Linked DNA regions of Cricetulus griseus. The protein of the gene in region 2 purifies or fractionates together with the protein of the main gene of each other region. This does not show direct contact. Links are inferred from orthologs where the notes say so. Each region holds a gene or a part of one and is shown on either strand. Other genes may lie near its edges.

The links.
Region 1: the proteins of Eef1a1 (region 2) and Eef1b2 purify together in Homo sapiens (affinity purification with mass spectrometry; 3 studies listed by BioGRID and IntAct, counting the BioPlex papers as one, with this or other methods). This does not show direct contact. The link is inferred for Cricetulus griseus from reciprocal best matches to the Homo sapiens genes EEF1A1 and EEF1B2.
Region 3: the proteins of Eef1a1 (region 2) and Eef1g purify together in Homo sapiens (affinity purification with mass spectrometry; 5 studies listed by BioGRID and IntAct, counting the BioPlex papers as one, with this or other methods). This does not show direct contact. The link is inferred for Cricetulus griseus from reciprocal best matches to the Homo sapiens genes EEF1A1 and EEF1G.
Region 4: the proteins of Eef1a1 (region 2) and Rbx1 purify together in Homo sapiens (affinity purification with western blotting; 3 studies listed by BioGRID, with this or other methods). This does not show direct contact. The link is inferred for Cricetulus griseus from reciprocal best matches to the Homo sapiens genes EEF1A1 and RBX1.

What each region holds. Positions count from the first base shown.
Region 1 is NC_048595.1:417,278,914-417,286,671, forward strand, and holds Eef1b2 (elongation factor 1-beta), read left to right. Parts: upstream 1-3,139; 5' UTR 3,140-3,418; coding exon 3,419-3,498; intron 3,499-3,963; coding exon 3,964-4,086; intron 4,087-4,691; coding exon 4,692-4,818; intron 4,819-4,944; exon of another isoform or gene 4,945-5,023; intron 5,024-5,103; coding exon 5,104-5,170; intron 5,171-5,324; exon of another isoform or gene 5,325-5,456; intron 5,457-5,577; coding exon 5,578-5,703; intron 5,704-5,804; coding exon 5,805-5,959; 3' UTR 5,960-6,012; downstream 6,013-7,758. UniProt on the Homo sapiens protein: Catalytic subunit of the guanine nucleotide exchange factor (GEF) (eEF1B subcomplex) of the eukaryotic elongation factor 1 complex (eEF1).
Region 2 is NC_048597.1:189,544,485-189,551,938, reverse strand, and holds Eef1a1 (elongation factor 1-alpha 1), read left to right. Parts: upstream 1-3,559; 5' UTR 3,560-3,592; intron 3,593-4,536; 5' UTR 4,537-4,570; coding exon 4,571-4,714; intron 4,715-4,825; coding exon 4,826-5,005; intron 5,006-5,084; coding exon 5,085-5,381; intron 5,382-5,464; coding exon 5,465-5,615; intron 5,616-5,699; coding exon 5,700-5,956; intron 5,957-6,043; coding exon 6,044-6,278; intron 6,279-6,366; coding exon 6,367-6,491; 3' UTR 6,492-6,760; downstream 6,761-7,454. UniProt on the Homo sapiens protein: Translation elongation factor that catalyzes the GTP-dependent binding of aminoacyl-tRNA (aa-tRNA) to the A-site of ribosomes during the elongation phase of protein synthesis.
Region 3 is NC_048596.1:51,128,108-51,135,821, reverse strand, and holds the start of Eef1g (elongation factor 1-gamma), read left to right. Parts: upstream 1-2,558; 5' UTR 2,559-2,695; coding exon 2,696-2,707; intron 2,708-3,712; coding exon 3,713-3,871; intron 3,872-4,873; coding exon 4,874-4,937; intron 4,938-5,088; coding exon 5,089-5,231; intron 5,232-5,502; coding exon 5,503-5,646; intron 5,647-7,714. Other genes in the region: Tut1 (speckle targeted PIP5K1A-regulated poly(A) polymerase), read left to right, coding at 41-133, 646-1,769. UniProt on the Homo sapiens protein: Probably plays a role in anchoring the complex to other cellular components.
Region 4 is NC_048595.1:378,618,199-378,625,850, forward strand, and holds the start of Rbx1 (E3 ubiquitin-protein ligase RBX1), read left to right. Parts: upstream 1-2,677; 5' UTR 2,678-2,756; coding exon 2,757-2,834; intron 2,835-4,637; coding exon 4,638-4,716; intron 4,717-7,652. UniProt on the Homo sapiens protein: E3 ubiquitin ligase component of multiple cullin-RING-based E3 ubiquitin-protein ligase (CRLs) complexes which mediate the ubiquitination and subsequent proteasomal degradation of target proteins, including proteins involved in cell cycle progression, signal transduction, transcription and transcription-coupled nucleotide excision repair.

The DNA.
Region 1 (7,758 bases), on a different chromosome or scaffold from region 2:
GGGATCTCATGTAGCTCAGGCTGACCTTAAACTCCTGATCCTCCTGCCTTTATCTCCAAACTGCTGTTATTACAGGGATGTATGTACAAGATGACTAGTTTGTTGTGTTTGTTTTTTCCTTTTAAAGGAAAAAAATTATGTGATTAGAAAGTATCAACATTAAAAAATGAGTAAAAAAGTTTCAATAGCAGTAGCAGAAGTAATAGAAAATAGTACAAAAACTAAAATTTTTTCTTTTTTTTAATTAAAAAAATTAAGTGTAAGTGTATTATATTTTACCTGTATGTATGTCTGTTCACTATGTGCATGCTTGATGCCCAGAGAGGCCATGACTGGGTGTCAGATCCCCTGGAACTGGAATTACAACCAGTCATATAGTTTTTAGGAATCAAACAAGGTTCTCTAGAAGAACAGCCAGGATTCTTAACCACTGAGCCACCTCTCCAGCTAATCTTGAATTCATGTCCTTCTGCCTCTACCTCTTCAACATACCCTATTGGCATGTGCTACCACACGTGGCTTTTGGCTATACAGAGACCAGGCTGGCCTGAATCCCACAGAGAGAGATTCATCCACAGGCCTTTGCCTCTTAAGTGCAGAGATTAAAGGCACTACCATTCCAGATGAAATAGAATCCTAAACTCTAAAGCCTATAGTTATCACAGATGACCTATAATTAAAAATTCATTAATTTACAACTCATTTCACTTAATTCCTTAATAACAGTAATTACAATTTTCAATACTGAATTTGAAGACATCAAGTCTGGTGTCTGTAAATAATTTCTGGTAAATCAGTTATTGTTTGTTTATCTAGAAAGCAGATCTACAATACCAAGGTCAGTAATTACCAATAATAAAAACAAAGAAAAAATTGCAATAAAAACTGACTTCAACTTCAATGGGCATTGACAATCAGATGTAAAGTGCTCTTCGCTTGTGGTCCTTTTCTTTACGAACATCACACCATACATTTATTTTACTGTTCTATTTACTAAACTTGGGCTAAGCATGTAGCTTTAGTGGAGGACCACTTCTTCAGCCTACACTGGGCTGTATCCCAAACACAAATAAACAAACAAGCCCCCAAAACTAAGTTCCTGGAGAATTTTGGTAGCTACTAGACTTTAAGTTCCTTGACAAGAAATCTGACTATTCCCATTTTCTGGCACAGTACCCTTACAAAAACAAGTCACCAAATTCCAGGATGAGCAGTACATACTCCATTAGCAAAAAGTACTGATGGGGCCAGCGTGGTGGCCCATGGCCATAATCCCAGCACTGGGGAACTTGAAGCATTTGATGTCAGCCTGAGCTACATGATATAAAACCTACATAGACAGTTCGAGGATAACCTGGTTTATACAGCATACAGTTTGTTTTGTTGTGGTGTTTTGCTTTGGTGGTATTTGATTTTTGAGACAGATCTCATAAACCTCAGAATGACCTCAAATTTGCTATGAAGACAAGGATCAACTTGGGACTCCTAAACTTCAGATCTCCACTTCCCAAAAAGCACCAGGATTATAAACATGAACCACGACATCCAGATTGGTATATGTTTCTTGTTGCTGCTTTTTACATTCATTTATTTACTTTGTGTGTGCTAGCATACATTAACTGCGGTGGGGCTCGTGCAGATGAAAGCCAAAGAACAACTTTTGGGAGTCAGCTCTCTCCTTTCACGTGTGGGTTCTAGGAATTGAACTCAGGTTGTCAGGCATGACAGCAAGCACCTTGCCAGCCCTGGAATGTATTCCAAACAGGAACAAAAATAGCTACTCAAGCTAGGGATGTAGTTCAGTTAGTAGAGTCCTTACCTAGCATAAAGTCCTGGGTTCAATCCTCTGTCTCGGCCTCCCCAGTGCCGGGATTATAGACAAGCACCACCGCACCTGGCCCATATCTTGGCTGTGACTTAGACAAACAACTTTCTAAAAGTTGCTGATGCTCTAGCTCAGAACACTCCATTTAATGCAAAACTCAGTGAAAGAAAAGAAAAGAAACCCCCCCCAGGAAAAACGAAACCTAATGTTTACAATTCAGTTTGACTTTGTATCTCAAGACCTTGAAGACACTGCAGCTTCCTGATTTGCGGCTGGGCCCCGAGCAAACTTTTTAAGATTCATTTTTTTTAAAACTTATGTGTGCATGTGCATGTCTGTGTGGGGCTCATGTAAGTGCAGGTGCTCACAATCTAGAAGAGGGTGGCAACCTCCTAGGGCACAGTGACAGGCAGTTGTGAGTCTTCTGAACTGGACACTGAGAACCGAATTCGGATCCTCTCTGCAAGGTACTTGAAAAACCGCTTAGCTAACCAGCCCCGGCTAACTTTTAAAAAGTTGTGGGGAGATTTCCCCGTCAGTAGAATAAATAAATTACTACCCAACATGGTCAATGAACTAGACAAAAACAAACAGTAGTGTGGACAGCTGCAAGACAGCAACTAACCAATGATGCCTAAGGTTTAAGTCCTTCGTGACACTGGGGCATGAGCCGGTCTCCTGTCAAGGCCACCTCCTGCTTTCCCCTGCAGAGAAAGCAGCTCGCAAGCCCGAGTTCCCAAAGGTCTGCTCCTCTTCCTCCCTCTGCTTCACCGGCCGGTTCTCCCGGGTTCCCGCGGTGGCGGGGCGGGAGGCGGTACCCAGTCAAGGACAAGAGGGGAATGACTTCTCTGACCTAAAGGATACAATGCTGCCAAGAAATGGAACCCGGCTTGAAGCCCTTCAGCCTTCCCACCTAAACACGCCCTCACCTTTTCTCCGGAGCCCACTAGGCTGCTCCGCGGACTGGTCCGGATCTCTCTGACCCCTCAATACCGGGCCGCTAAGTCAATATGGCGGCCCCGGCTAACTCCGTCACAGGAACTGGAGGACGGAGAGCCAAGAGGGACGAAAAACCCAGGCTCGACAATTTTTTTTTTTTTTTCCCCCTCTTTGGACTTGTTCGGCAATTTCCGGCAACCCGAGCGAGAGTCGGGAGGAAGCGGAGGGGACGACTTGGACCCGCAGTTCCGCCGGAAGTAGCTGAGGCCTTGAGGCCGAGCGCTTTCGCTCAACTCCGGCTCTTCGGGGGGCGTTTCCCTTAGTTTCGGAATCCTTGTAGGTAGGCCTTTTAAAATGCCTCTTTTATTAATTTCTCTCCGGTCCCAAGGAAAAGCCCGCGGACAACCTGTGGGCCGTTTGATTCCCAAGTCCCGGCTTTACGTGGAGGGACGAGACTAGGAATGTCCTTTGACCTTTAACCTCTAGCCGGTGCAGTGGAGGGAAACGCCTCCGTCTCTATATAAGGACTTTTCCGGCCGGCCCGGGCCCTTTTTCCCTTAGCGCCGGCCGCGGGCTTCTGGCGCTCTCTCTCTCTCTCTCTGTCTCTCCCTCTCCCTCCCTGCTGCTGCCGGCCTCCGGGATCCAACCGACGCCATGGGTTTCGGAGACCTGAAAACCCCCGCGGGCCTCCAGGTGCTCAATGATTACCTGGCGGACAAGAGCTACATCGAGGGGTGAGTCTGGAGGCCGGGGCCACGTGGCGCGGGCTCGGCGGGAGGAAGGGGGGGGTGGGAGCCGAGCCTGGGTCTCCCGGGGCCCGGATGCTGCCGGAGCAGGACCTCCCGGCAGGGGCTGCAAGCGGAATCATTGAAACAGGCTTGGTGGCCGCGTGGCCGCGTTCAACCAAGTTCTTCCGCGTCTCCGCCGAGTTAGGAAATCTAAACCTGGTTTGGTGGCTGGCCCGATGGCAGATGGTAGCTTTTGAGGTCTGTCCAGATACGTGGCAGATGCTGTTGGTTTGTGGAGATTCGAACACGTGTTCGGTGCACTTTATAGTTAAAAGCAACTAAAGCAACTTGTTAGCCCTGCAGTAGTTCCCACTAGTTAGTCTGACGGGTGTAGAGCTTGTCCTATACTAGCTGGTGTTCGTGTCTTTTCTTTAAGAGGTGTGTGCACTTTGTTTTTTGTGTCACCGGCAGGTACGTGCCATCGCAAGCAGATGTGGCCGTCTTTGAAGCCGTCTCTGGTCCTCCGCCCGCTGACCTGTGTCATGCTCTGCGCTGGTATAACCACATCAAGTCTTACGAGAAAGAGAAAGCCAGGTAAAAAATGTCTTGGTGCCACCTGGGTTTTCACATGGTAAACTAGGACCTAGGTTAAGTTACTTAGCTTTGTTGGGCTTGGGTAAGCTGAATTTCTTTGTGACCTTAAAAGGCCAAGAGACTGAAGCCCTCCGTTTTCTCACGGAACAGGTAGAACATGGACAACAGCAATTCAACTTTACCCCACACCTCTCTGCCAGTATGCTTGGACCTGGGGGGGCCATCGCTGGGGTGAGAGGGTAGCTCATTCATTCAGTCCCTGGCCATTCTTCTGAAACTACCAGCAAGCAAGGGTGGAGAGTTTGGGGAAGTGGACTCCAGTTAACTAAGAATGGAAGTGAGCATACTTAATGAAATCCCAAACAGAGATGTTCATTCTGAAAGAGTTAAACCATAGTGAGTATTGAGTATGATGTCTCCCGTGGTACTAATGTTTGTTGGAGGAAGAGCTAGACACATAACATCTTTACCTGGGATTGTTTGTGCTAAAGGATAAATAACCAGAATAGAAGAGATTGAGTGTTACTGGGAAAGAAAGGTTGTGTGTTTTGCCCAGAAAAGAATATGACACCCGACCTAATATTGGTAGAATGTTTGTTTTCAAGCCTGCCAGGAGTGAAGAAATCTCTGGGCAAGTATGGCCCTGCCAGTGTGGAAGACACCACAGGAAGTGGAACTGCGGATGCTAAAGATGATGATGACATTGATCTCTTCGGATCAGATGATGAGGAGGTATGGCTGACCTCATATAGAGTATGTTGATAAGGCAGCGTAAGTGTAGTATAAGTATAGCTGTGTAGTCACTCCCTGGAGTTGACCCCTGGCTTTGCTTTGTTATCTGCCTTTAAAAAGATATCACTGGGTATATGATGAATAAAATCAAATCACCATCTTTCGGCTGAGCTCCTGATGGATTTGCTTTTTTCTGATAAATCTGGTCTCTTTTTTTGTAATGACCCTGTCACTGTGTTTAAGCAGAAGATAACCAACTTTGTGAAATTTTTGTTTCCTATACAGGAAAGCGAAGAAGCAAAGAGGCTCCGAGAAGAGCGCCTTGCACAGTATGAATCAAAGAAAGCTAAAAGTAGGTAATTTTACAGTTGTTTACCTTCATTGGTAAATAATAATGTGAGTGGTGGTCTTTTCCAAAGCTTGACCCTAAAGTGGTTTTTTTTCCAGTTTCATTGAATGGGTCGGTATTTTTAAGAGTCTTCAATAAACATCTTTCCTTATGGAACATCCACAGCTACTGGTCTACAACTGTTCATATGATAGCAGCTGTAGCATTCCTCTGTGGGAAAGAAACTGTTACACAATTTAATGCCTCTTTCTTAGCCAAATTGAAAGAGGAATATGCGTGACAGACACAAGGTAAATTCTGTATGTTTTTTCAGCAAGAAGATGTCTGTTTTGAAACAAGTTGAGATTTGGCCTACGGTAAAGGTGTTTAGTAGAGTGCTTAAGTATAATGCATTTCTTAATCTTTTTTAGAGCCTGCGGTTGTTGCCAAGTCTTCCATCTTACTAGATGTGAAGCCTTGGGATGATGAGACAGACATGACAAAATTAGAGGAGTGTGTCAGAAGCATTCAAGCAGATGGCTTGGTGTGGGGCTCTTGTAAGTTTACTGATGGGTTTTGAAGTTGAAATTCATGTACATTTTCAATGTTTTCCCATCAATAAGAATTTCCTAACTTTTTTCCCTTGTTCTTTTTTTAGCCAAGTTGGTTCCGGTGGGATATGGAATTAAAAAGCTTCAGATCCAGTGTGTAGTTGAAGATGACAAAGTTGGAACAGATATGCTAGAGGAGCAGATTACTGCCTTTGAGGACTACGTGCAGTCCATGGATGTGGCTGCTTTTAACAAAATTTAAAACCATCCTTGGTCAGTGCACTTGAATAAAATCTCAAACAACCCTTGACTCTACATTCTATTGTGAGAAATGGTGGTGTGTGTGTCTTCATTTGGGGGAAAGGATTCAGTGGCTATGTAATTCCTAAGTAATGAAAACTTGGCTGGAAAGACAGATAAAGCACCAGGTCAAGCCCACTTGGCCATGCTTGATTGACCAGCCAGAGTTTAACCCTCAGGACCCACAAGGAAGAGGACTGACTCCTAGAAGTTGTATTTTAGCCAATGTGTTTTTCACATACCATATGACTACACACATTAAAAAAAAACAACTGATGTGTTATTAAACATTTAGCAATTATAGTTAATTTTGTAGCCTTTGTTGATAAAATTCTGTGGCTGTCAGCAGCAACACATGGTGCTGATGAATATGGTCTATTGTGAACAGACGTCTTCAAGATTGCTTTTTTGAAAAATTGACTTTTGGCCAGTAAGATGGTTCAGCCAGTAAGGGTACTCATAACACACATTTACCGCTTGGGTTCGGTCCCTAGAACCTGGGTGGGAAGTAGAATGCAGACTTTGGAAAGTGCTCCTCTGACCTTGACATGCACAGCACTCAGTCACAGAAGTATTTTCTTCATCAGTGTTAATGTATGTGCCACATGAATGCCTGCCTGGGGAATTCATAAAAGGTTATTGGGTCCCTTGGAACTGGAGTTACAGATGGGTGTTAGCGACTATGTAGGTGTTGGTGCCCAGGTTGTCAAATATTCCTAATTGCTGAGCAATCTCTAGCTCCCTCCTTCCCTTTTCTATGCCACTGTACCAGAGGAGGTGAGTCATAACGTCCATTTACAAATGTCACGTATTCATTCAGCTACAGAGGATGGGCCTATTGTTAGAAGTGTGATCTGATGCTAGGGATTGTACTGCCCTGGAAGTACACCATTGAACACATCAGCCATTTTGGCTTCATGTTAAATACCAAATGTAGTTACTATTGTTTTTACAGTTTGGATGTTGTGTCTTTAAAGCTTGCTGTATTTTGTAGATAGAATTCAGAAGGATAAATAATCCAGGGTTATTTCGCTCAACCAGCCAGTACTCTTGCTATCAATCTAGTGAGGGAAGCTTCCTGTAAAGATTTATTTAATAAAACATTCGCTGAGGAAAAGACAACAGATGCGGCCTGAAATAGTGGGAAGATTTTTTTCAGGATCATAATGGCCAGCAGAGGGCAGTGTCTAAACGACGAGAGCCAGAGGAAGGCAATGTCAGAACCATGAGGGTCGGCAGAGGGCGCACTTGCTCTTCTGGAAATTCATAGTGCTTGAGGATTCTGCAGAACACTGACGTAAAGGTATATTTTATTCATCTTATACTGGTGTCCACGTAAACAAAAGACCAAAAGATGGAACTATGCTGGCGATGCATGTTCTTTGAAGTACTGAGTTCGGACCAGCCTCTATATCACCTGGGAAATGTGTTTCTATTGTTTATAGTAATCTACACACTTGTATACAGCCGGAATTTTCCATAACCACGATGTTCTAAAAAACTAAAACTGAACACAAAATTGTAGACACGCTTCAAGAGGTCTGTCCCCTCTGATTCTGAGCCAGCCTAGTCTTGCTTTGACCAGTTGGATATTGTGGAAACAAGGCTGTGAGTGACATTCATAACCTTTAACAGGCCTGAGGATGAGGTTCGGTGGTGGAGCACTTGCCCCTTGCAGCTTTTGGACTGAGAAGTGTAGACGTGAGAGCAAGTACAGTTGATTAACTCGTCCCAACTATTCCAGGCTAGGCCACTTGCATT
Region 2 (7,454 bases):
TTGTTTGATTAAAGGCACACGCCTTTAATCCCAGCACTTGGGAGGCAGAGACAGGCCGATCTCTGTGAGTTCAAGGCCAGTCTGGTCTCCAGAGTAAGTGCCAGGATAGGCTCCAAAGCTACACAGAGAAACCATGTCTCGAAAAACCAAAAAAAGAAAGAAAGAAAACAAACAAACAAATAGAACAGAACAAAGGCCAGACCCCCAAGCTTGGGAGGCAGAGTCAAGAGGATTTCTGAGGCCAGCATAGTAAGTTCTAGGCCAGCCAGGGCTGCATAGTAAAATCCCTCAGAAAACAAACAAGTAACACACAACAAATAGGGCTGGAGAGATGGATCAACAGTTAAGAGCACTTGGTTCTCTTGCAGAGGACAGTTCAGTTCCCAGCGCCCAGATCAGGCAGCACACAACATTCTGTAGTAGCTAGCTCCAGGAGACCTGACACCCTGACCTCTGAGGACACCAGGCACACACGTTGTGCATAGAAACAGATGCAGGCAAAACATCCACACATATAAAACAAAAAATTAAAACCAATAAAACTCCTAAACTTTTGGTCTTTCTTGAATCTTCAATCCCTCAGGTTATGAAATAATCATTTATGCAGTCAAAAATTTGCCATTCTTGTTGCCAGGTGTGGTGATGATTCGGGGAAGCAGAAGCAGGCAGATCTCTGTGAATGAGGCCAGCCTGGTCTACAAAGTGAGTCCCAGGACAGTCAGGCCTGTTACACAGAGAAACCTTGAAAAAAAAAAGATAATATGTACTGTTGTATTACCCCAATATATAAGGCTAAACCATTAGAAGCACAACACTGTTAAGTACGGAAAATAATATCTAGTGTGGTACAGTTACTACTACTATAATACACTAATATAGCTGTGGGAAACTAGTTCCAAAGATGAATTACTAACCAGTGTTTCCAAGGAAATAAATGAAAGCAGAGAGATTAGTTCTATTGCTAGTGTTTCATTTTCGTATATTTCTTACAATTTCTCTTGTTACAAATAGGCACTAGGGTATCAAGATAATTTTAACGACTGGCTGAGAACCCTAGAAAATCTCTGTGAAAAAGGGATTTGTGAAATGAGAGAGGGTAATGTGGCCATTATAGAAAAGGCTTTTGTGTGCCTTGCATGCATAGACCCTGTGTTTGATCTCTTAACACCCTCCTTGACCAGAAAAAGCTTCTGTGGATAGAAAATGATTAGTTATATATACTTTTAGGGAAACGTAGTTCTGGATTCTTTGGTTACAATTAACAGAATTAAGTGCAAACAAAGCCAGAAACCTCCTGATAAATGAGAAAACCTGCTTGTAGAAGGTTGTAAGGCTCTGTAATATAGGAATTAGGAGAAAAGAAACCTGTGTGGTGGGGCACGTCTGTAATCCCAGCATTGGGAAGTAGAGGTAGAAGATTAGAAATCAAAGGCCAGCCTCAGCAACACAGTGAGTTTGAGGCCACCCTGAACTACATCAGGTTCTGTCTCCTTTCTTTTTTTTTTTTTTTTCTTTTCTTTTTTTGGTTTCTCTGTGTAGTTTTGGAGCCTATCCTGGCACTAGCTCTGAAGAGCAGGCTGGCCTCGAACTCAGAGATCAGCCAGCCTCTGCTGGGATTAAAGGTATGCACCACCAACGCCCCAGGTTTTGTCTCAAACAAACAAAAATAACATCAGGAGGTGGTGAGAGGGCTCAGTGGTCACAGGCATTCTCTGCAAAGCCTGACTCTGAGTTGGATCCTTTAGAGCTACATGGTTGAGGGAAGAGAACTGACTCCTGGAAGGTGTCCTCTGGTCCCCACACATAGCTATACACAGCATGTGCATTCACACACACTAAATAATGCTATTTTTAAAAAAATTAAAAACAACAACAGTTTGGGTTGTGAAAACTAGAACTAGATAATAGGTAAGAATCAAGTATCATGTAAATTTGCTTTCAACTCATCCCAAAATTTGTTTTATATTTCAGTTTTTTTCCTTCCTAGCTTGACTGTGGAGTCTTGTCCGGAAGCAAATAGTTCCTTTGCAGATCCCACATGTGGACACCGGACAGTAGGTCCTCAAATGCTCCTTATTAGGTTGGTTCAATAATATCAATTGTTTGTTACTAGGCAGTGATGTTGTACATCTGGAGGAGATCTCTTGAGCCCATAATCAGGTTATTAGGAATAAATACTCTAAGGCTAAAAATGTAGCTTAGTGATAAGAGTGCTTGCCTGGTGTGCTGAGACCCTCGGTTCCATCTCCACAACCCCATATTCCATTACAAAATACCTTTTCACCGTCCCTAGCATTAAGAAACAAAACAACAAAGAAGTTTTTCTTTCTTCTGAGATCCTGCCCGGAGAGGCATTTAAAACTGGCCAGGGCCAAAAAAAAAAAAAAAAAAAAAGAAAAAAAAGAAAAGAAAACAGGCTAGGGCCGGCATGGTGGCGCACGCCTTTAATCCCAGCACGCAGGAGGCAGAGGCAGGGCGGATCTCTGTGAGTTTGAGGTCAGCCTGGTCTACCTAGTGAGTTTCAGGGCACCCAGGGCTAAAGAGACTGTCTCAAAAACAAAACAGCCACACAATCAGAACCACAGCAAAACGCAGTTATGATCCTTGGAACTGTAGGAATGACAAGCATTTAAATAATAGGACGAGCCATTTTTGAGAAGCTCTGATTTCACAAGTGTCAGGGATGGGCTCTGGGCGAGTAAGATTGCTAATGCTGGCCTCTAAATGAGACCACGTGGAGTTGATTAGATTCTTTTCATGTTCCTCGTGCTCTATCAAATAACTGTACCCAAATACACACACACACACACACACACACAATGCGCGCACACACAAAATCCTTTTTTAGCTTAAGAAGCCCAGAATCAGAAGTAAAGCTAACTGTGGGACTTAAGTATTATTCTGAACGGAACTCCCAGGGCGTGAAGCGCGCTTCAGGCTTCCAGAGAAGCAGCTGGCGCTGGATGGAATGAACCAAGAGGCCAGCACAGGGGCAGATCCGTCGAGCTCTCGGCCACCGAGCTGAGCCCTTAGGTTCTGGGGCTGGGAAGGGTCCCTAGGATTGTGCACCTCTCCCGCGGGGGACAAGCAGGGGGATGGCGGGGCTGACGTCGGGAGGTGGCCTCCACGGGAAGGGACACCCGGATCTCGACACAGCCTTGGCAGTGGAGTCAGGAAGGGTAGGGACAGATTCTGGACGCCCTCTTGGCCAGCTCCTCACCGCCCCACCCCCGACTGGAGCCGAGAGTAATTCATACAAAAGGAGGGATCGCCTTCGCCCCTGGGAATCCCAGGGACCGTCGCTAAATTCTGGCCGGCCTCCCAGCCCGGAACCGCTGTGCCCGCCCAGCGCGGCGGGAGGAGCCTGCGCCTAGGGCGGATCGCGGGTCGGCGGGAGAGCACAAGCCCACAGTCCCCGGCGGTGGGGGAGGGGCGCGCTGAGCGGGGGCCCGGGAGCCAGCGCGGGGCAAACTGGGAAAGTGGTGTCGTGTGCTGGCTCCGCCCTCTTCCCGAGGGTGGGGGAGAACGGTATAAAAGTGCGGTAGTCGCGTTGGACGTTCTTTTTCGCAACGGGTTTGCCGTCAGAACGCAGGTGAGTGGCGGGTGTGGCCTCCGCGGGCCCGGGCTCCCTCCTTTGAGCGGGGTCGGGCCGCCGTGCGGGTGTCGTCGGCCGGGCTTCTCTGCGAGCGTTCCCGCCCTGGATGGCGGGCTGTGCGGGAGGGCGAGGGGGGGAGGCCTGGCGGCGGCCCCGGAGCCTCGCCTCGTGTCGGGCGTGAGGCCTAGCGTGGCTTCCGCCCCGCCGCGTGCCACCGCGGCCGCGCTTTGCTGTCTGCCCGGCTGCCCTCGATTGCCTGCCCGCGGCCCGGGCCAACAAAGGGAGGGCGTGGAGCTGGCTGGTAGGGAGCCCCGTAGTCCGCATGTCGGGCAGGGAGAGCGGCAGCAGTCGGGGGGGGGACCGGGCCCGCCCGTCCCGCAGCACATGTCCGACGCCGCCTGGACGGGTAGCGGCCTGTGTCCTGATAAGGCGGCCGGGCGGTGGGTTTTAGATGCCGGGTTCAGGTGGCCCCGGGTCCCGGCCCGGTCTGGCCAGTACCCCGTAGTGGCTTAGCTCCGAGGAGGGCGAGGCCCGCCCGCCCGGCACCAGTTGCGTGCGCGGAAAGATGGCCGCTCCCGGGCCCTGTAGCAAGGAGCTCAAAATGGAGGACGCGGCAGCCCGGCGGAGCGGGGCGGGTGAGTCACCCACACAAAGGAAGAGGGCCTTGCCCCTCGCCGGCCGCTGCTTCCTGTGACCCCGTGGTGTACCGGCCGCACTTCAGTCACCCCGGGCGCTCTTTCGGAGCACCGCTGGCCTCCGCTGGGGGAGGGGATCTGTCTAATGGCGTTGGAGTTTGCTCACATTTGGTGGGTGGAGACTGTAGCCAGGCCAGCCTGGCCATGGAAGTAATTCTTGGAATTTGCCCATTTTGAGTTTGGAGCGAAGCTGATTGACAAAGCTGCTTAGCCGTTCAAAGGTATTCTTCGAACTTTTTTTTTAAGGTGTTGTGAAAACCACCGCTAATTCAAATCCAACATGGGAAAGGAAAAGACTCATATCAACATCGTTGTCATTGGACACGTAGATTCAGGCAAGTCCACCACAACCGGCCACCTGATCTACAAATGTGGTGGAATCGACAAACGAACCATCGAAAAGTTTGAGAAGGAGGCTGCCGAGGCAAGTATTCGAAGGGAAAAGGTCGGGGGGGGTGGAAATCTACCGTAAGCAGGAAATTGTTTATTTAGAAACTAGATGTTTTGAGTGTACTAACTGCGAATCACTGAACAGATGGGAAAAGGCTCCTTCAAGTATGCCTGGGTCTTGGACAAACTGAAAGCTGAGCGTGAGCGTGGTATCACTATTGACATCTCCCTGTGGAAATTTGAGACCAGCAAATACTATGTGACCATCATTGATGCCCCAGGACACAGAGACTTTATTAAAAACATGATTACTGGCACTTCTCAGGTTTGTGAAATTTACTACCTTCTGACCCTTACCTCCAGCTGGAAAGCTTTGTTATTAACGGGAGGTAACTTTTTCTTAGGCTGACTGTGCTGTCCTGATTGTTGCTGCTGGTGTTGGTGAATTTGAGGCTGGTATCTCCAAGAATGGGCAGACCCGTGAGCATGCCCTTCTGGCTTACACCCTGGGTGTGAAACAGCTAATTGTTGGTGTTAACAAAATGGATTCCACCGAGCCACCTTACAGCCAGAAGAGATACGAGGAAATTGTGAAGGAAGTCAGCACCTACATTAAGAAAATTGGCTACAACCCTGACACAGTAGCATTTGTGCCAATTTCTGGTTGGAATGGTGACAACATGCTGGAGCCTAGTGCTAATGTAAGTGACTTGAAGAAGGTGGTTAAATGGAAAAGCTGTAAGGGGGGAGAGATTATAAAACATTTGGCTACTCTGCATTTCAGATGCCTTGGTTCAAGGGATGGAAAGTCACCCGTAAAGATGGCAGTGCCAGTGGTACCACACTGCTGGAAGCTTTGGATTGTATCCTGCCACCAACTCGTCCCACTGACAAGCCACTGCGACTGCCCCTCCAGGATGTCTATAAAATTGGTGGTAAGTAGAGCATTCGGACACTGGACTAAGATGTTTTGAGGTGTGTTCAGTTGTCTTCACCTTATATACTGTAAATGTTTTTAGGTATTGGGACTGTTCCTGTGGGCCGAGTAGAGACTGGTGTTTTAAAACCTGGAATGGTGGTTACCTTTGCTCCAGTCAACGTTACAACAGAAGTAAAGTCTGTTGAAATGCACCATGAAGCTTTGAGTGAAGCTCTTCCTGGAGACAATGTGGGCTTCAATGTAAAGAACGTGTCTGTCAAAGATGTCAGACGTGGCAACGTTGCTGGTGACAGCAAAAATGACCCACCAATGGAAGCAGCCGGCTTCACTGCTCAGGTAAACAAGATAGGTGTCAAGAGTGTAATATTGATAGCAGCATGCAAAACCTGAAGGCAAGATTTAACCAAATGCTGTTTCTTTCAGGTGATTATCCTGAACCATCCAGGCCAAATTAGTGCTGGCTATGCTCCTGTACTGGATTGTCACACAGCTCACATAGCATGCAAGTTTGCTGAGCTTAAGGAGAAGATTGATCGCCGTTCTGGTAAGAAGCTGGAAGATGGCCCTAAATTCTTGAAATCTGGTGATGCAGCCATCGTTGATATGGTTCCTGGCAAGCCCATGTGTGTTGAGAGCTTCTCTGACTATCCTCCACTGGGTAAGTAGAACTTAAGTTTCTGTTGCACTGAGTATTGTTTGGATATGAAATGCTGTATGAACAAGTGCTCATAACTGTTTCTGTGTAGGTCGTTTTGCTGTTCGTGACATGAGGCAGACAGTTGCTGTGGGTGTCATCAAAGCTGTGGACAAGAAGGCTGCTGGAGCGGGCAAAGTCACCAAGTCGGCCCAGAAAGCTCAGAAGGCTAAATGAATATTACCCCTAACACCTGCCACCCCAGTCTTAATCAGTGGTGGAAGAACGGTCTCAGAACTGTTTGTCTCAATTGGCCATTTAAGTTTAATAGTGAAAGACTGGTTAATGATAACAATGCATCGGAAAACCTTCAGGAGGAAAGGAGAATGTTTTGTGGAACATTTTTGTGTGTGTGGCAGTTTTAAGTTATTAGTTTTCAAAATCAGTACTTTTTAATGGAAACAACTTGACCAAAAATCTGTCACAGAATTTTGAGACCCATTAAAATACAAGTTTAATGAGAAGTCTGTCTCTGTTAATGCTGAAGTCATTACTAAGTGCTTAGCTTAGCAAGGTATGTGGATGCCCATTTGTGTTCCAAGGGATTGGACTGTTCATCAGGACCCAGAGCTGAGTTTCAAGGGCTCAAGAGATGGCTTATTACCTGTGGGTGTCTTGAAGGTTCTGGTTGGGACAAATTAGGAATGTTTTTGGCAGACATGGTGACTACCCTTCATCTGGGTGAGTTCAGTTGATTTGTCTTGAGCCTTTGGGGTTTACACAAGTAAATGACATCATACAGTTAGTGTATTGTTAGTGAATATTAATATATGAGGCAGGCTTTGCTCTAGCAATTTTAGAACTAGTTTTCAGGAAAGGGTTCATCTTGTGCATTGGATGTTTGATTCTATCACTTAGAGTTTAAACTGAAAGTGCTCAAGAGGTTTTATTTAGGCTGGGATATAAATAAGCCTTTCTGTAGCTTGTAATGGTATCAGGAATTTAAAAGGCCATCTGGGGCACAAAGATTAAGCAGAAAAGGTAGAAGGTGAGATTGGGGGACTTTGAGTACTTCACACACTTTAATGTGTGAGTGCTTTAGTGCATATAGTACAACTGCCAGATAAGGGCATCCACATCTGATTGTTTGGAAGGCACCTTGTGGTTTCTGGGAATTCAGAATTGGGAGAAAAAGTGCTC
Region 3 (7,714 bases), on a different chromosome or scaffold from region 2:
ATTTTCCTACTTCCAGCCTGACCCTCTCTTACTGTCACAGGTGAAGGGGAGCAGGTAGAAGTTGATGGCTGGGACTGTAGTTTCCCCAAGGATGCGTCCCGACTGGAGCCCAGCACCAACCTAGAGCCTCTCAGTGAGTCTGGGGAACCTAGGAGACAACTAACAATAATATTAAGTTCTAGAATAGGCACGGTCTTCACTAACCCCATGACTGTTGTTTTTTTTTTTTGATTTATTTATTATTCTGCCTCTATGTATCATGTATCCCTGCACACCAGAAGAGGGCACTAGATCTCATTACGGATGGCTGTGAGCCACCATGTGGTTGCCAGGAATTGAACTCATGACCTCTGGAAGAGCAGGCATTGCTCTTAACCTCTGAGCCATCTCTCCAGCCCTCATGGTTGCTGTTTTAAGGATGACAAAACCATATCTTGGGCAGCTAAGTAAGAGGTGTATTCCCTAGTTACACTGCTCTCCAGGGCAAGCAGCAGCATCTGGGCAGGACATGGCTGAGGAGCTGGATTTCTCAGGACACTTTTGAAGCCCTAAGAAGGGAAGAAAGTCCTACTGAAGTAGCAGCAGGGATGTCCCAATTATGGCTTCTAAGTGACAGACACCCTTTTCCTAATCTGCCTTTTCCAGGTTCTCTGCTGGCCCAGTTCTTCTCTTGTGTTTCTTGCTGGGATCTTTCGGGCTCCCTGCTGTCCCTCCGGGAAGGTTGTGCATTGCTGGTGTCAGGGGGCCTGCCTTCTGATCTTTGGGAGGGGCTGCGCCTTGGCCCCATGAATCTCCAGGATCCCTTTGACCTGAGTCACAATGTTGCAGCCAATGTAACCAGCCGGGTGGCCAGACGTCTGCAGAACTGTTGTGGGGCAGCAGCTAGTTACTGCCGAAGCCTCCAGTACCAGCAGCGTTCCTTCCGGGGCCGGGACTGGGGACTACTGCCACTTCTGCAGCCCAGCTCCCCTAGCTCCCTGCTGTCTGCCAAGCTCATCCCCTTACCACCTGCCCCCTTTCCTCAGATCGTTACGGCTCTTGTGCGAGTGTTAAAGGAAGCGCTTGGATGTCATATAGAACAGGGAACCAAGAGGCCCAGGTCAGAGGGTCCCAGGACCAAAGACCCTTCCCTGGGAGGGACAAACAAAAGACAGAGACTAGATGGGCAAGAGAAGAGCTGGGAGGAGGGGAATGAGAAGTCGCAGGGATGTGCAGGGGACCACAGTGAAAATGGGGTGGAAGAAATGGTAATAGAGTTTCGAGAGACGTCTCAGGGCAGGGCCTTGCTGAGCTCTGCACCATCAGGCCAGTTGCCCCTGATGACTTGGAAGTGTCTAGACAAGTTGGCTGAGCAGAAGCCCATGGAACCCGAAGTGGCTGGAGAAGAGTCTCAGGGTGAGACAGGGAAGGAAACATCACACCTCTCATCAGCGAGCTGGCGCTGTGCTTTGTGGCACCAAGTGTGGCAGGGGAGGCGGCGTGCCCGGAGACGATTACAGCAACAAACCAAAGAAGAAGGCAGAGGAGGCACCACCACTGGAGCAGAGTGGCTGGCAATGGAAGCTCGTGTGACCCAGGAACTGAAAGGACCAGACAGTGAGCAACAGAGGCTACAGGGGGAGCCCCTCCTCACCTTTGTGGCATCTGTCTCCCAAGCTGACCAGGCGCTCACTGTGGTACCAGTCCAAGATTCCCAAGGCCTGTTCCCTGGGCTTCATCATTTCCTACAGGTTTTTCTCCCTCAAGCACTTAAAAATCTCCTTGAGTGAGGAGGCGACCTCACAGACAATAAAGCTGGTAGTTTATTTAATACAGACAATGGACAACTGCGATTTCTACCTGGTAACACTTTCTCTCTGTCTTAATGTAGCCTCTGCCCTGCTTGGCCTGACTATCCTAAAACAGTCATTATGTCCACTTCAGAGGTCTTCCCACCTCATACCACATTTATAGGGAGTTCCACACCACAAGACAAAGGCACTGATTTCTGCTGCCTTTTCTACCCTTTAACACTAGAGTGAGTTCAAATTTCCCTTAAGTTGGATACGAGATTTCCAAATTTGGATATGTGTAAATTATTGCATTAGAACTGGTCTACCTTACCCGACCTTCTGGAGCACAGCCCGGCTTGAGAGGTGCAGGTGACATACAAGTTTGCCGGTCCCCTTTGTTGTAGAGTTAACATCAAGGTTGTTTAGTCATCGCAGACCTACTTTCAGATGTTTTCGGCCATGAGCCCTGCCGGACAGACAATCCCTTAATAGAAAAACCCGAACAGGAACAAAAGGAATTTAGTGACTTGCCACTCCTTCCTTGCAGCCCATGTAGTTCCTAGTAGGCTAGAGCTACTAGCGGTTGGGGCGGTGCTTCCGCCGGTTCTCACACTCTCCCCGCCCTCAGTGAGCTCCGTCTCCTATCAGGCTTCCGATTGGTCGGCCACACGGGCGGGGCGGGCTGCCCAGAGCCATACTACGCAGGCGCCAGCTCTTTGCGCTCCAGGCAGTGCGCCCCACCCCGTGCTTTTTCCAACTCAGCGCGGCTGGAGACGGAACTGTCGTGCGTATGCCTTTTATGCCGTCCTCGCTTTCCGGCCGCTGTTTCCGTACGGCTGTCCCCTTACCCCCTCCCTTGTCTCCCTGGCGGCTTACTTTGCGGCAGCACCGACAGCCCCACCCCCTTTCTCTGCGGAATCACCATGGCGGCTGGGGTAAGTTCGCCGGCTCTGGTGATCCAGGTCACTTCATCCACCGCCATCCTTTGACTGAGTCGGGTCAGTCGGCGCCAGGAGAGTTCCAGACCCAAACGGAGAGCCGATCTGGGGTTCGCAGGCCGTACCGCCGGAGAGCAGGGTTCCTAGGGCCTGGAGGGGAACTGAGGCTGGGGCTCGGAGGCCAGAGGTGGAATGTTCTGGGGTTGAGGAGAAGAGATGCTGGGTCTTCAGTGTCTGGATGTTTAAAAAGTGGCTCAGCTGCACTGCCATTTTAAGATGTGGTGTCTGGGTAGGTTGGTGGAACTTTTGCGACCGTTTTGTGGGTCACCGACGGGGACAGTGAAAAAGGAGAGGGTCTTTGTGGGCAGGAGGGACTGGCACAGTTAGGAGTTGTCTTTTGGGGAGGTTTGGGAGCAGAGGAGTCAAGGAACACTGAAGGCAGACCATTTGGACACCTCTGGCCAGGTTTTAGTAGGGAGACAACTGGAAACACTGAAGGACAGGACCAGAGCGATGTTAGTGCTCGGTGAGGAAAAACAGACTTTTTAGGAAGAGGAGTTGATGAGCAGAGCATGCCGCTAGAAATCAACGTGGCCATTCTGAGGGGAACTTTGAAATCCATTGGTCGATGTGTGTGCTTGTGAGGTGCTACCAGCTTGGCTGTGGCCATACACTGGGTCACCACGAATGAATGAAACAAGGGCTCTGGGAGGCAAGGGTGTGTGTATTTGGGCAGATGAAGACTGGTGGGACCACGAAGTTCTGAAGGGAAGAATGCTGCTAGTGATGTCCTTACGGGAGGTCACGTCTGTCAGCAAGCTTTATTTAGCAGCTGGTACGCAGTTCTGTTCTCGCTATTTCAGAGGACTCTGATTACATAGGGCATACTCAGTTAATTTGGTTTACCAGAAGGAGTGGAGATGAATCAAAGGCTTTGAAAGTGTGGGGAGTCGCTTTCAGGATTCTTGTACTCATGTCCATTCTCCACCCTTCCTCTCACAGACCCTGTACACATATCCTGAAAACTGGAGAGCCTTCAAGGCCCTCATCGCTGCTCAGTACAGCGGGGCTCAGGTCCGCGTGCTCTCCGCACCACCCCACTTCCACTTTGGCCAAACCAACCGCACCCCTGAATTTCTCAGAAAGTTTCCTGCTGGCAAGGTGAGTAGAGAAGCAGGGACCCCAAAGAGCCCTAAAATTCTATTATTTTGGACATGGCCTCCATATTCTATTCTTCAACATTGAAGTTACTTTTTAAAGATTTCATGGGGCCAGGGATGAAAGGCCCTGAGTTTGACTGTCCAAGCACCCAGAAGGAAAAATAAAATCATTTTGAAGCCTTCTGGTAATCCTAGCATTCTGGAGACTGAGGCAGGAGGATTGTGTGAGGTCAGTTTATATAATCTAATATGAGCCTTTCTATAAAGGGAAATTCAGAGCAGTTTGGTGACTCTCAGAGTTACAGACCTGCTTTGGATTTGTGGGATGAAATGTATTTGGGCCAATACATACATACTAGGTTTCTTGCAAGTTGGATTCATATCCCAGAGTGCTTGAGTAGAGATAAATATCCAACGCTGAGTATGGAGGACGGCAAATGCTGTATATGTGTGTGTGTGTGTGTGTGTGTGTGTTGTTGTTGTTTGTTTGTTTGTTTTTTGAGACAGGGTTTCTCTGTGTAGCTTTGGACACTATCCTGGCACTCACTCGGTAGACCAGGCTGGCCTCGAACTCACAGAGATCCATCTGCCTCTGCCTCCCCAGTGGTGAGCGCCACCACTGCCCGGCCAAATGCTGTGTGTGGGTTGCACCTAATGCCTTGGGTAGCGGAGTTGTAGGTGGAGGACTGTCTGAAGACATCCATACCTGAGAATATTCTTTATTTTGAGATGGTGTCACACTAGCCCTGGCTGATTTCAGATTCAGACTGGGAATAAGGGTATGAGGCCGTAATTTCACATTTCAGCCATGTTTGAATTCTTAGTCCAGGCACTGGATTCAGATTACGAGAGAGTTACTGATTATTTTTCATATGAGTCTCAGATAATGTTGCAAGTTTGCATAGCAAGGGTTGTCTCAACATTCTTGACAGTTCAATCCCAAGAATTGGCTAGTGAGAAATCCCTGTGTTTTGCTTTTGTCTCTTAACTACTTCGCCCCTAGGTCCCAGCATTTGAGGGGGACGACGGATTCTGTGTGTTTGAGAGCAATGCCATTGCCCATTACGGTAATTTGTGGGGACACAGGATTGAGAGGTTCTGGGGATGAGGCTGTAGAAGTGGCTGGGAGTGACGGCAGTGGACGGGGTGGGATCATAGAGACCTGGGTTGGTTTGGGCATGATCTTTAGGTTCCAAGCTTTATGTTGTGCCTTTGCAGTAAGCAATGAGGACCTTCGTGGAAGTACTCCAGAGGCAGCGGCTCAGGTGGTGCAGTGGGTGAGCTTTGCTGACAGTGACATCGTTCCTCCAGCCAGTACCTGGGTGTTCCCCACCTTGGGCATCATGCACCACAACAAACAGGTATGCTTTGGAACTTGGCAGAGATGGGGTCAACTCCTATATTGGAGGGAAAGATGCCAGTGATGTGTGGCAGTGCAAAGTCGTAAGTGCTCGCCGTCAGTATGGTGGGAAATAGTCATGTCAACTCTGAAGAGACTGAACATGCATGTTTTAGTTCTAATACATTTTCAGGTGATCCTAGATTCTAGTGATAGAGGCTGGGGGTTGAGCCAATGCTGATTAAATGGAAAGGGACTTGGTACCCACTAAACTTGAATATTCAAAACAACAGGCCACTGAAAATGCAAAAGAGGAGGTGAAGCGAATCCTGGGGCTGCTGGACACTCATTTGAAGACAAGGACTTTTTTGGTGGGTGAGCGAGTGACCCTGGCTGATATCACAGTTGTCTGCACCCTTCTGTGGCTCTACAAGCAGGTAAGGTTTGTAAAGAGCCCATTAGACAGGAGATTGACTGGTGCTGGGGTGCCCTGGGTTCTACTTAGGACTCATCAGTTAATGGCTGTAGGAATCCCAGGATTGAGTACGGTGGGTGTTTTCATTTTAGGTGATGTTGCTTAGTTTCTTGAAAATAATGGGTTTAATTTAAAGATGGGTAAGGCTGGGTGTGGTGGCTTACACTTGTAACCTCAGCACTTAAGGTACTGAGGCAGGAGGATCACTCTGGTATGAGGCCAACCTGGGCTGTATAGCGAGATCATAAATTAAAGATAGGTAAGGATGGTCACTGCAGCGTCAAGGGCTTTTGGAGGCAGATCCAAGTCCCTATCCTGGCTTCATTATTTACTGGTACAGATAGAAGGATGTAAGAATTCTCACAGTTCTTTATTTTATTTTACTTTATCTGTGTTAAATTCAAGGTGGTAGTAATCACTGTGTGGTTCCTATGTTTTTTAAAACATTTAAAATTGTTTCATTTATGTGTATTAGCATGTATGTATGTACATATGTGTACCGGTCCTAAGGAGTTTTGAGCTACCAAGTGAGTGCTGGGAATTGAACCAGGGCCATCTAGAAGAACAGCCATCTGTCTGTCTGTGTATATGCATGTATGCCTGTGTGAGGGTGTCAGATCCCCTGGAACTAGAGATACAGACAGCTGTGAGCTGCCATGAACCTGGGTCCTCTGGAAGAGCAGCCAGTGCTCTTAGCTGCTGAGCCATTTCTCCAGCCCCTCAGGTTACTGGTTTTGTTGTTGGGTTTTAAAGAATGTTGTATTGATTTCCAAGCAATAGCTGGGGATCCATTTTGATTCAGAATTGTAGTACAGTAGGAACAAAGAAAAAAGCTCCTACTGTTCTGACCGTATGCCTCACGGGGTTCATTATAATGTTTCTGTGCCTATAGCACACAGCTTGTAAGTACTCAAGTATAACTTGAACCCAAGTATTCAGAACTTGAAGTTCCCAACTTCCTGATTTCTGTGATCTGTCTCCATGACCAGATTTAGCTCTCACCCCCTCCTATTTTTGGCAAACTTGAAAATGACAGGGGCTGGAGAAATAGGCCAACAGTTAATACTTGCTGCACTTACAGAGTACTCCCAGCACCCCCATGATGCCCTAATAGCTGTATCTCCCTTTCCAGGAGATGCGATGCCCTCTGAATTCAGGCTTCTGTGAGCACTAGAATGCATGTGGTGTACAGATATATGTGCAGGCAAAACACCCATATACATAAAAATGGAAGGTAAATTAAGAATTTAAGACAGTGTGTGGCTGAAGAGATGGATCAGCATTTAAGAGCACTCTGCAGAGGATTCAGGTTCAATTCCCAGTACACGCATAGCAGCTTATAACTTTCTTTAACTCCAGCTCAAGGGGAATACAATACCTTCTGGTCTCAGTGGGCACCAGGCTTGCACACGGTGCGCAGATATGCATGGAAACAGAACACTTGTGTAAAAATGAAATAAATGTTAAAATTTTTTAAAAGAGGATAGTGAATTTTTCTGTGAATGAGTTAAAAGAAGGACTGTTCTGATCATACTGGGTTGCTGAACTACACTCTTATTTGGTTGGTGTCTTGGGTTTGGTTGTGTCATCAGTGTGCAGGTTGTAGTTGCAGTGTGGAGCTAGAGTGAGGCCCAGTGACATGGTTTATCTGGCAATGCTCTAGGTTCCATTCCCAGCTTCACACACAAAATGTCTTTTTTGGGGGTCAGCTTGTTTAGCAAAATAAGTCTAGTAGCCACCCCCACCTAGCATCACCCCCTTGGATGCTAGGTTGGAGCCCAGTGTCTTGTGAATACTGGGTTACATTGTGCTACTGAGCTAAGCCCTTAGTCTCTTACATAGACTCTGTTACAGACTTGTTGAATCTAACTTAAGAAAATTTTGTTGACATGAAATTTAAAAGATTAAGAATAATAGACATGAAATTCTTGTGTAAAAGAGTATGACAACAAGGGGCTGGAGAGATGGCTCAGAGGTTAAGAGCACTGACTGCTCTTCCAGAGGTCCTGAGTTCAATTCCCAGCAACCAC
Region 4 (7,652 bases), on a different chromosome or scaffold from region 2:
ACAAAGAGTCGAGACCGTGATGGGAAAACCCATAGAATCAGCTGACCAGAACTAGTGAGAGATTGACTCCATACTGACAACTGGGAAACTGGCATAGGACCAAACTAGACCCCCTGGATACAGGTGACAATGGTGTGCCTTGGGTAGTATATGAGGCCACTGGTAGTGGGACCAAGATCTAACTCTAATGCATAAACTGACTTAGTGGAGCTCATTTTCTATGGAGAGATACCTTGCTCAGCCTAGACATGGCGGGGGAGATTTGGAGGGGAGCTTGGTCCTGCCTCAACAAGGGGATGGGACAGACTTAGCTGACATCCTAGGGGAGACCTTACCCTCTCTGAGGAGTGGATGGGAGGTGTGGTGGGGGGAAGGAGGGGAAAGCAGGAAGAGAGGAGGGAGGGGAAACTGAGATTGGAATGTTATAAGCAAATAAATAAATGAAATACAAAATCAGGTGTTAAAAACATTCATAGAGGGCTGGAGAATACTGTGGTATTCAGCACAGTAACAGTATGTGCAGGTTTGGAGCCTAGAAGTAGTAAGCTCAGTATAGCTTCAGTAACAGGCTACCCCATCTAGGTTTGTGTAATTACCATATATAATATTCACACAATAACAACATTGTCCAATGCCTTTCTTAAAACTATATGCATAGTACTCAAGACATATTGTTGACTCCTCCCTTCAGTCTCATCATCTTGTCTTTTATAACCTTCATTGCTACCTGAGACTTCCTGATATCATTGATGGTGCTTTGTGTCCCTACTAAAAGTTGATTTCATCACTGTGGCTTTCCTGTTTAAAGTAGGACCTTGTGTAGCTGAGCATGGTGGCTCATCCCTTCTATCTTCAGCACTTGAGGGGTAGAAGCAACAGAATTGCTCAGATTTCCAGGCCAAAGTGGCCTGGCGTTGGTGGCGCACACCTTTAATCCCAGCACTTGAGAGGCAGGCGGATCTCTGTGAGTTCAAGAACAGCCTGGTCTACAAGAGCAAGTTCCAGGACAGCCTCCAAAGCCACAGAGAAATCCTGTCTCGAAAAACCCAAAAAATTTTAAAAAAATAAAGAAGAAACCAAAATTGGAGCTGGAGAGATGGCTCAGAGGTTAAGAGAACTAGCCGCTCTACCAGAGGTCCAGAGTTCGATTCCCAGTAACCACATGGTGGCTCACAACCTTATCTATGATGGGGTCTGGTGTCCTCTTCTGGCATGCAGGCAGAATACTGTATCCATAATAAGTAAATAAATCTTTTTTTGTTTGTTTTTGTTTTTGTTTTTTGAGACAGGGTTTCTGTGTGTAGCTTTGGAGCCTATCCTAGCACTCACTCTATAGATCTGCCTGCCTCTCAAGCGCTGGGATTAAAGGTGAGTGCCACCAACGCCCAGCATAAATCTTTAAAACAAACAAACAAAACAAAATTTAAAAGACCTGATACATACTCAAGATATTTGTTGAATAATGAATAAGTATGTCCTCAGTATCTTAATTAACTGTAGATTTCTAGCATCCCATAGGGAATTTGTTAACACATAATAAATGAATGACAGTTTTAACATGGGAGGCAGAACTTGGACAAACACATACAGGCAGGCCCAGCCAGGCTGTCACACATTTTCTTTGTGCACGTTAAAGCTGTGGTGTTGTTTCTGGAAGTATTGCCCTGCTCAGCAATGACATTAACAACACTCCATTACTCTCCAATAAGTATCTCTTTTAAAAGGATATGTGACATTACAAATATAACTCTTTTGTTGTCCTGTTGTGGGAACTGGAACACCACGGCGTTCTACTTCTACCTCCCAAGTCCTAGGATTATAGGACTAATAAAAATATAAAAAATTCAAGGTGATATATTTCAGTCATGCCTCTGCTAGTTTAGGAGATAGAACCATGGAGGCCTGCACTAAACGTGGGAGCATGTTGTTTAGCTCGATGGAAATGAGCGGTAAGATTATCAGAATGCCTCATCCAAATTCAAGTCCAGCCACTACAGATAAACTAGTTTAACTGTAGTTCAAGCAGCCAAATTGGGATAGGAAATGGGGAGAAAGGGACGACATTTAGGACTGGCTGGTTAGGAGAGGTAATATGGCATCTCCCAGGCTCTTAATTAAGCGTTCTCCATCTCTTTCTGGTGAGAAAGCGAAGGCAGAGCTGCAGAATGTCTGTTAGGTCTGGGGCAGAACATTCAAGCCTCTTCTCTCCCCATCAAATCATTTCCCAAACTCATTGGGAACTCGGCTGGTGCCCGGGCTCTGGGAAACCTGGCCGCAGGCCTCCAGGACACTGCCACACCGCGTAGCCCCAAAGCTGGCCACCACCAGAGGAAGGCCCGTGTGGAGTCTCGGGTTTCCACAGACCCGCCCAAGCCCCTTCCATCGCAGCACCGGAGGGCAGCGCTGTGAGAATGGACCAGGTGCAAGTCCCGGCAAAGAAGGGCAGCCACCGCCCCAGATGAAGGAATCAGGCCAAGAGGGTGCCCTGAAGGCGAGCAGCGTGAAACCTCACGGACATTCCCACCGGCTGTCTCACATAGTTCGGCCCCGCCGGGCCCCGCCTCAAGCCTACTCCCCAGCGGAGGGCGAAGAACATCCGCCTGCGCCTTTAAGGGGCGTGGCGAAGGCTCCGCCCCTTCCACCCGCGCGCGCCAATAAGGGGAGGGGTGCGGGAGGAGGAGCCTGAGGTGGGGAGCAGGAGGCGACGTGTGACCCGGTGCGCAAGCGCAGTTGCCGGGTGTTCGTGTGTTTCCAAAATGGCGGCAGCGATGGATGTGGATACCCCCAGCGGCACCAACAGCGGCGCGGGCAAGAAGCGCTTTGAAGTGAAAAAGGTTGGGTCTGGCCAGCACTTTCCTCAGGGAAGCTAGAGAGGTGTGGATATGGCTGGCAGGCCCCAGGACGAGCGGGGCGCGGGGGAAAGAGCTTCATTTCAGGGCGTTCCTGGGACCGGGTACCACGAAAAGGAAGCTGGGGGGCGGGCTTTAGGATTGATGGGCATGATGGTGACCCAGTCTCTGAGGCCATATAAGTTTCGCTGGGGTAGCTGAGGGGCCAATCGCAGGATGTCTTACTGAAATACTCTGCGTCGACTTGGTTGCGGGAGCCAAGCGCTTGAGCTGTCACTGAATTGACTGAGAGGTGGGGGAAGGACAGGGTGGGGTGGGTGGAATGGAGGCTCTCGGAGAGACTGCGGCGGGTGGAGGATGGGGCAGTGCGGAGAAAGCCGGGAGCGTGAGCCCCTACCGCAGAGGAGGCTCTCAGGAGCCCTGTCGGTCGGTGTTCTCCTTGCCCCGCCCCTTCCTGGATCCTTGAGTCTATTGACTCGGAGAGACCTGGTGTGGGTCCTCGATTGTATGGAGGCCTCCATTAGGCTCTAAGGCCCTAGTCTCGAGTATAAGACTTGGTTCTTCAGAAATGTCTACTGCTTGTCACGTATAGGTTTTGCCAGTCCCATAGTTCTGTAACGTCCGGATACCCTTCTATCAAAATCAGTAGTTACAAAGCTTCGTGGGCTTTGTTTTAAAAGCAAGCCCAGAACTTGTGGCATTTAGGAAAGTGGAATACTAATTGTTCATGATTTGGGAGCAGGAAAGCAAAAATGTCGAAAGTCTTTTTGCATGCTGTTCCCTTCATAGTTTGCCAACAGTTTGAGAGAAAGGTGTCAGTTCCTACCTCAGAATACATAAATCTGTAAAAATGAAGATATTGTAGTCGGAGAGATGTTTTCATGTATTTTTGGAGCGTGTCGCTGAGCACACCCTCCACCCCACCCCCCTTTTCTGGCATCTCATTGTGGCCATTGCTGCTCAGTTACAGCCAGCAGCCATATTGAAGAATAGAAGTAATCGTTTTTTTTTCAACCCCCCGAGTTGATGCTGTGGTATAAAAAGTGATGTAGAAGTTACTGAACTTCTGAGACTTGAATTTGAAAGAGCCCTTGAAAGGGGTGTCTGTCAATATGTATGTATAATTGCAGAAGCCAGTTGAACTACTTTTAGATCGACTTGCTTACTAGAATTAATAGTTTGGACATATAAAAGTTGACAACATCAGTTTCCAGGATAAGAGGGAAAGAAAATTGTAGTGGATTCTACTTTGCCATGAATTAATCTGTTAAGATTTAAGTGATGACCTTGTTCTGTGTACTGAAGCTAGGTAGGTAACTGGCTATCCGGCTTATCCCACGATTATCCACATTATGATCCTGTCATCATTTTACTCCATTCTGTTCACCTCCTTATGTGTCCAAAACTGCTTGAAGAGCAGAGACTTCTGCAGATTTTGAGTCCTTCCACAACTGCCAGGGAAAGCTCCACAATAATTCAAGTTTGTACTTCTTTAAATCTAAAACCGGTGTTTAAAAAATATTTCTAATTTGCTTACATTGGTTGGACTAGCTAAATTATTTTACACTATAGACAGAAAATTGAAGCATCCCATGTTTACATCTTCAGATGAATGAGGAAGCATACATGTGGTTTGCTGTTGTCCTCTGATGTAGTACAAATAGTATAATCCAAAAACATTCTTTCTTTGATAGCCCCTAAGGCCAGGGAGTTGGTAGCTTGAACTGAAACCTGAAATCCTGTTACATTACTAGGAAAATGCATTGTTAACCCCCTTTGTCTTTGCAGTGGAATGCAGTAGCCCTCTGGGCCTGGGATATTGTGGTTGATAACTGTGCCATCTGCAGGAACCACATTATGGATCTTTGTAAGTAACTCAGGGAGGACGGAGAGAAATGGAAAAGGTTACAGAAATGGTGGTCATCCTGATGTGACCAATTTTCTTCTTTACAAGTAGATAGATACAAAGCAGGGTCAAAACCCTTGGGCATGAGTGCATCTCATCCGTTGGTGTGTTTGAAATAAATTTATTTTGTTCTTTGAGACACAGTTTCTCTGTGTAGCCTTGGCTGTACTAGAACTACTTTGTATACCAGCTGGCCTCAAACTCAGATCCATCTTCTTCTGCCTCCTGAGGTCTGGGATTAAATGCCTGAGCCACCAGTACTCAGCTCCACTCAAAATTATTTTTATTATTAAGTTAAATAGTTAAAACTATTTTTCGACGGGCGGGCGTTGGTGGCACATGCCTTTAATCCCAGCACTTGGGAGGCAGAGGCAGGCAGATCTCTGTGAGTTCAAGGCCAGCCTGGTCTTCAGAGCGAGTGCCAGGATAGGCTCCAAAGCTACACAGAGAAACCCTGTCTCAAAAAACCAAAACAAAACAAAACAAAACAAAAAACAATTTGCCCAAACGGTTGCTATCAACCGTTTCAAATAAAGTTATTTTTTTAAATAATGTCTTAGGAGGCATCCCCAGGTCTCAGAATAAATTATTCATTGTAAAGCCAACAAGATCCCATTTAGAATGAGTTATAGGAAGAGATGTTGTTTCTTCCCATCTTACACAGACACAATAGTGAAAGAAAGTGACCTTTGAAGGTAGATAAACCGTGCATACCTGTAATTCCAGCATTTGGGAGGCAGTAACAGGAGTATTGTGGCAAATTACAGGCCGCCAGGGCTAAAGTTTGAGCTTCAGTACTCTTATCTGAGCTAGGTTTTGTTGAGCAAGATTTACAGTCACAGGCTGGAGGAATGGTTCAGCAGTTAAGAGCACTGGCTGCTTTTCTAGAGGTCTGAGTTTTAATTCCCAGCAACCACATGGAGGCTTAACATGGCCTATCACTTCAGTCTCAGGTTAGTCAAAGTCCACTTCTGGCCTCCAACAGACCAGGTATCCTCTGGTGCAGGCAAAATACCCAAGCACATTAAATAAGTGAATATATTATAAATTAAATTTACAGCCAGCCATATATAATCTAAAATTGTGTATTTGCTGGTCTAAACAGCATCTCTGTGTATGTCTTTGTGTGTGTGTGTGATATATGTGTGTATATCACACACACACACACATTCTTTACATTTACTCATGTACACATAGGCTACTGGCAATTCTCTCAGATATTCCTAAGAATATGCCATAGTGCCCCTTTATGTTTATCATTTATTTAGGTGGTCCTCTTTTTTAACTGTTATTTACTGCTCTAACATATTGTCTAATACATACTAAAATTGCACTGAATATTTGCTAGATGAGTAACAAAAAAACAAATATTTAACAGTCTGTGATCACTTGGAAAGCATGAATCAAAAGATTTGTGTTAGAAAGCACATGTGCTGCCGGGCGTTGGTGGCACACGCCTTTACTCCCAGCACTCGGGAGGCAGAGGCAGGTGGATGTCTGTGAGTTCAAGACCAGCCTGGTCGACAAGAGCTAGTTCCAGGACAGCCTCCAAAGCCACAGGGAAACCCTGTCTCGAAAAACCAAAAGAAAGAAAAAAAGCACATGTGCCTTTTGCTGGTTGTTGTTGATGACTTAGAGTTTCTTTGAACTTTGACCTTTTCTTTTTTATACTATAGTGAAAGCAGATCAGCAGCTGCAATGTTTAATGTAGATGGGAGGAGCCCATCACTGAAACAGCATGGCTTAAATACGAGTGGAGTCTCTGGTTGTGTAAATGCAGTCTGTCCCTTGTATGATCATAAGTTGCACTAGAGAGGATCTTACGTCCTTGGAACTGATATCCTTCTTACCTTCCTTTATTTAAGTCATTTTGTGTCTCTACATTCCAGAGAACATACTTCTTGGGAGGACAAACGAACTCTAGTATGTTTTTTTCCCCACTAGATACTTACATTGTCTAATAATATGTTGTGTGTGTTTTGTTTTTGTTTATTTGTTTGTGTTTCTCTGAAGCTTTGGAGCTTGTTCTGGAACTCGGATCTGTGTGCCACCACCCTCCCGAATTTGTTATAAAAATTTTTATTTATTTTATATATATGAGTGCTCTATCTGCATGTATGCCTTTATGCCAGAAGAGGCCATCACTTCCCACTAGCGATGGTTGTGAGCCTTTATGTGGGTTCTGAGAATTGAACTCAGGACCTCTGGAAAAGCAGCCAATGCTCTTAATCGCTGAGCATCTCTCCAGCCCCTTGTTTTTGTTCTGTGTAGCCCTGGCTATCTTGAAACTTGCTCTGTAGACCAGTCTGGCCTTGAACTCATATCCTCCTGCCTCAGGGGTTAAGTGCCCTGTTTATCTTTATTGTTTTTTAGGGTTTTTATTTTGTTTTGGGTTTTTGTTTTCTTTTGAAATTGCACATAACCAGGCTGACTTCAAATTCATGATCCTCCTGCCTCTGCTTACCTCATTATGTTCAAAATGTCACATGAGATAAAATATTGAATTTATATAATAAAAACCTGATATATCTGAGTATAATGGTATATACTTGGAATCCCAGTACTTGTCTGGGTTGCCTTAGTTATGGTTTCTATTGCTATAAAGAGATAACCATGACCACAGCAACTCTTTTTTTTTTTTTCTTTCTTTCTTTCTTTCTTTTTCTTCTTTTTTTCCACCTCAAGATAGGGTTTCTCTTTGTAATGGCTATGGCTGTCCTGGAACTCACTCTGTAGACTAGACAGGTTTTGAACTCACAGCGATCCACCAGCCTCTGTCTCCCAAGTGCTGGGATTTACGGCAAGCATCACCACCACCCAGCTGTGACCACAGCAACTGTTCTAAGGAAAACATTTAATTGGGGTGGCTGGCTTTTAGTTTCAGAGGTTCAGTCCAT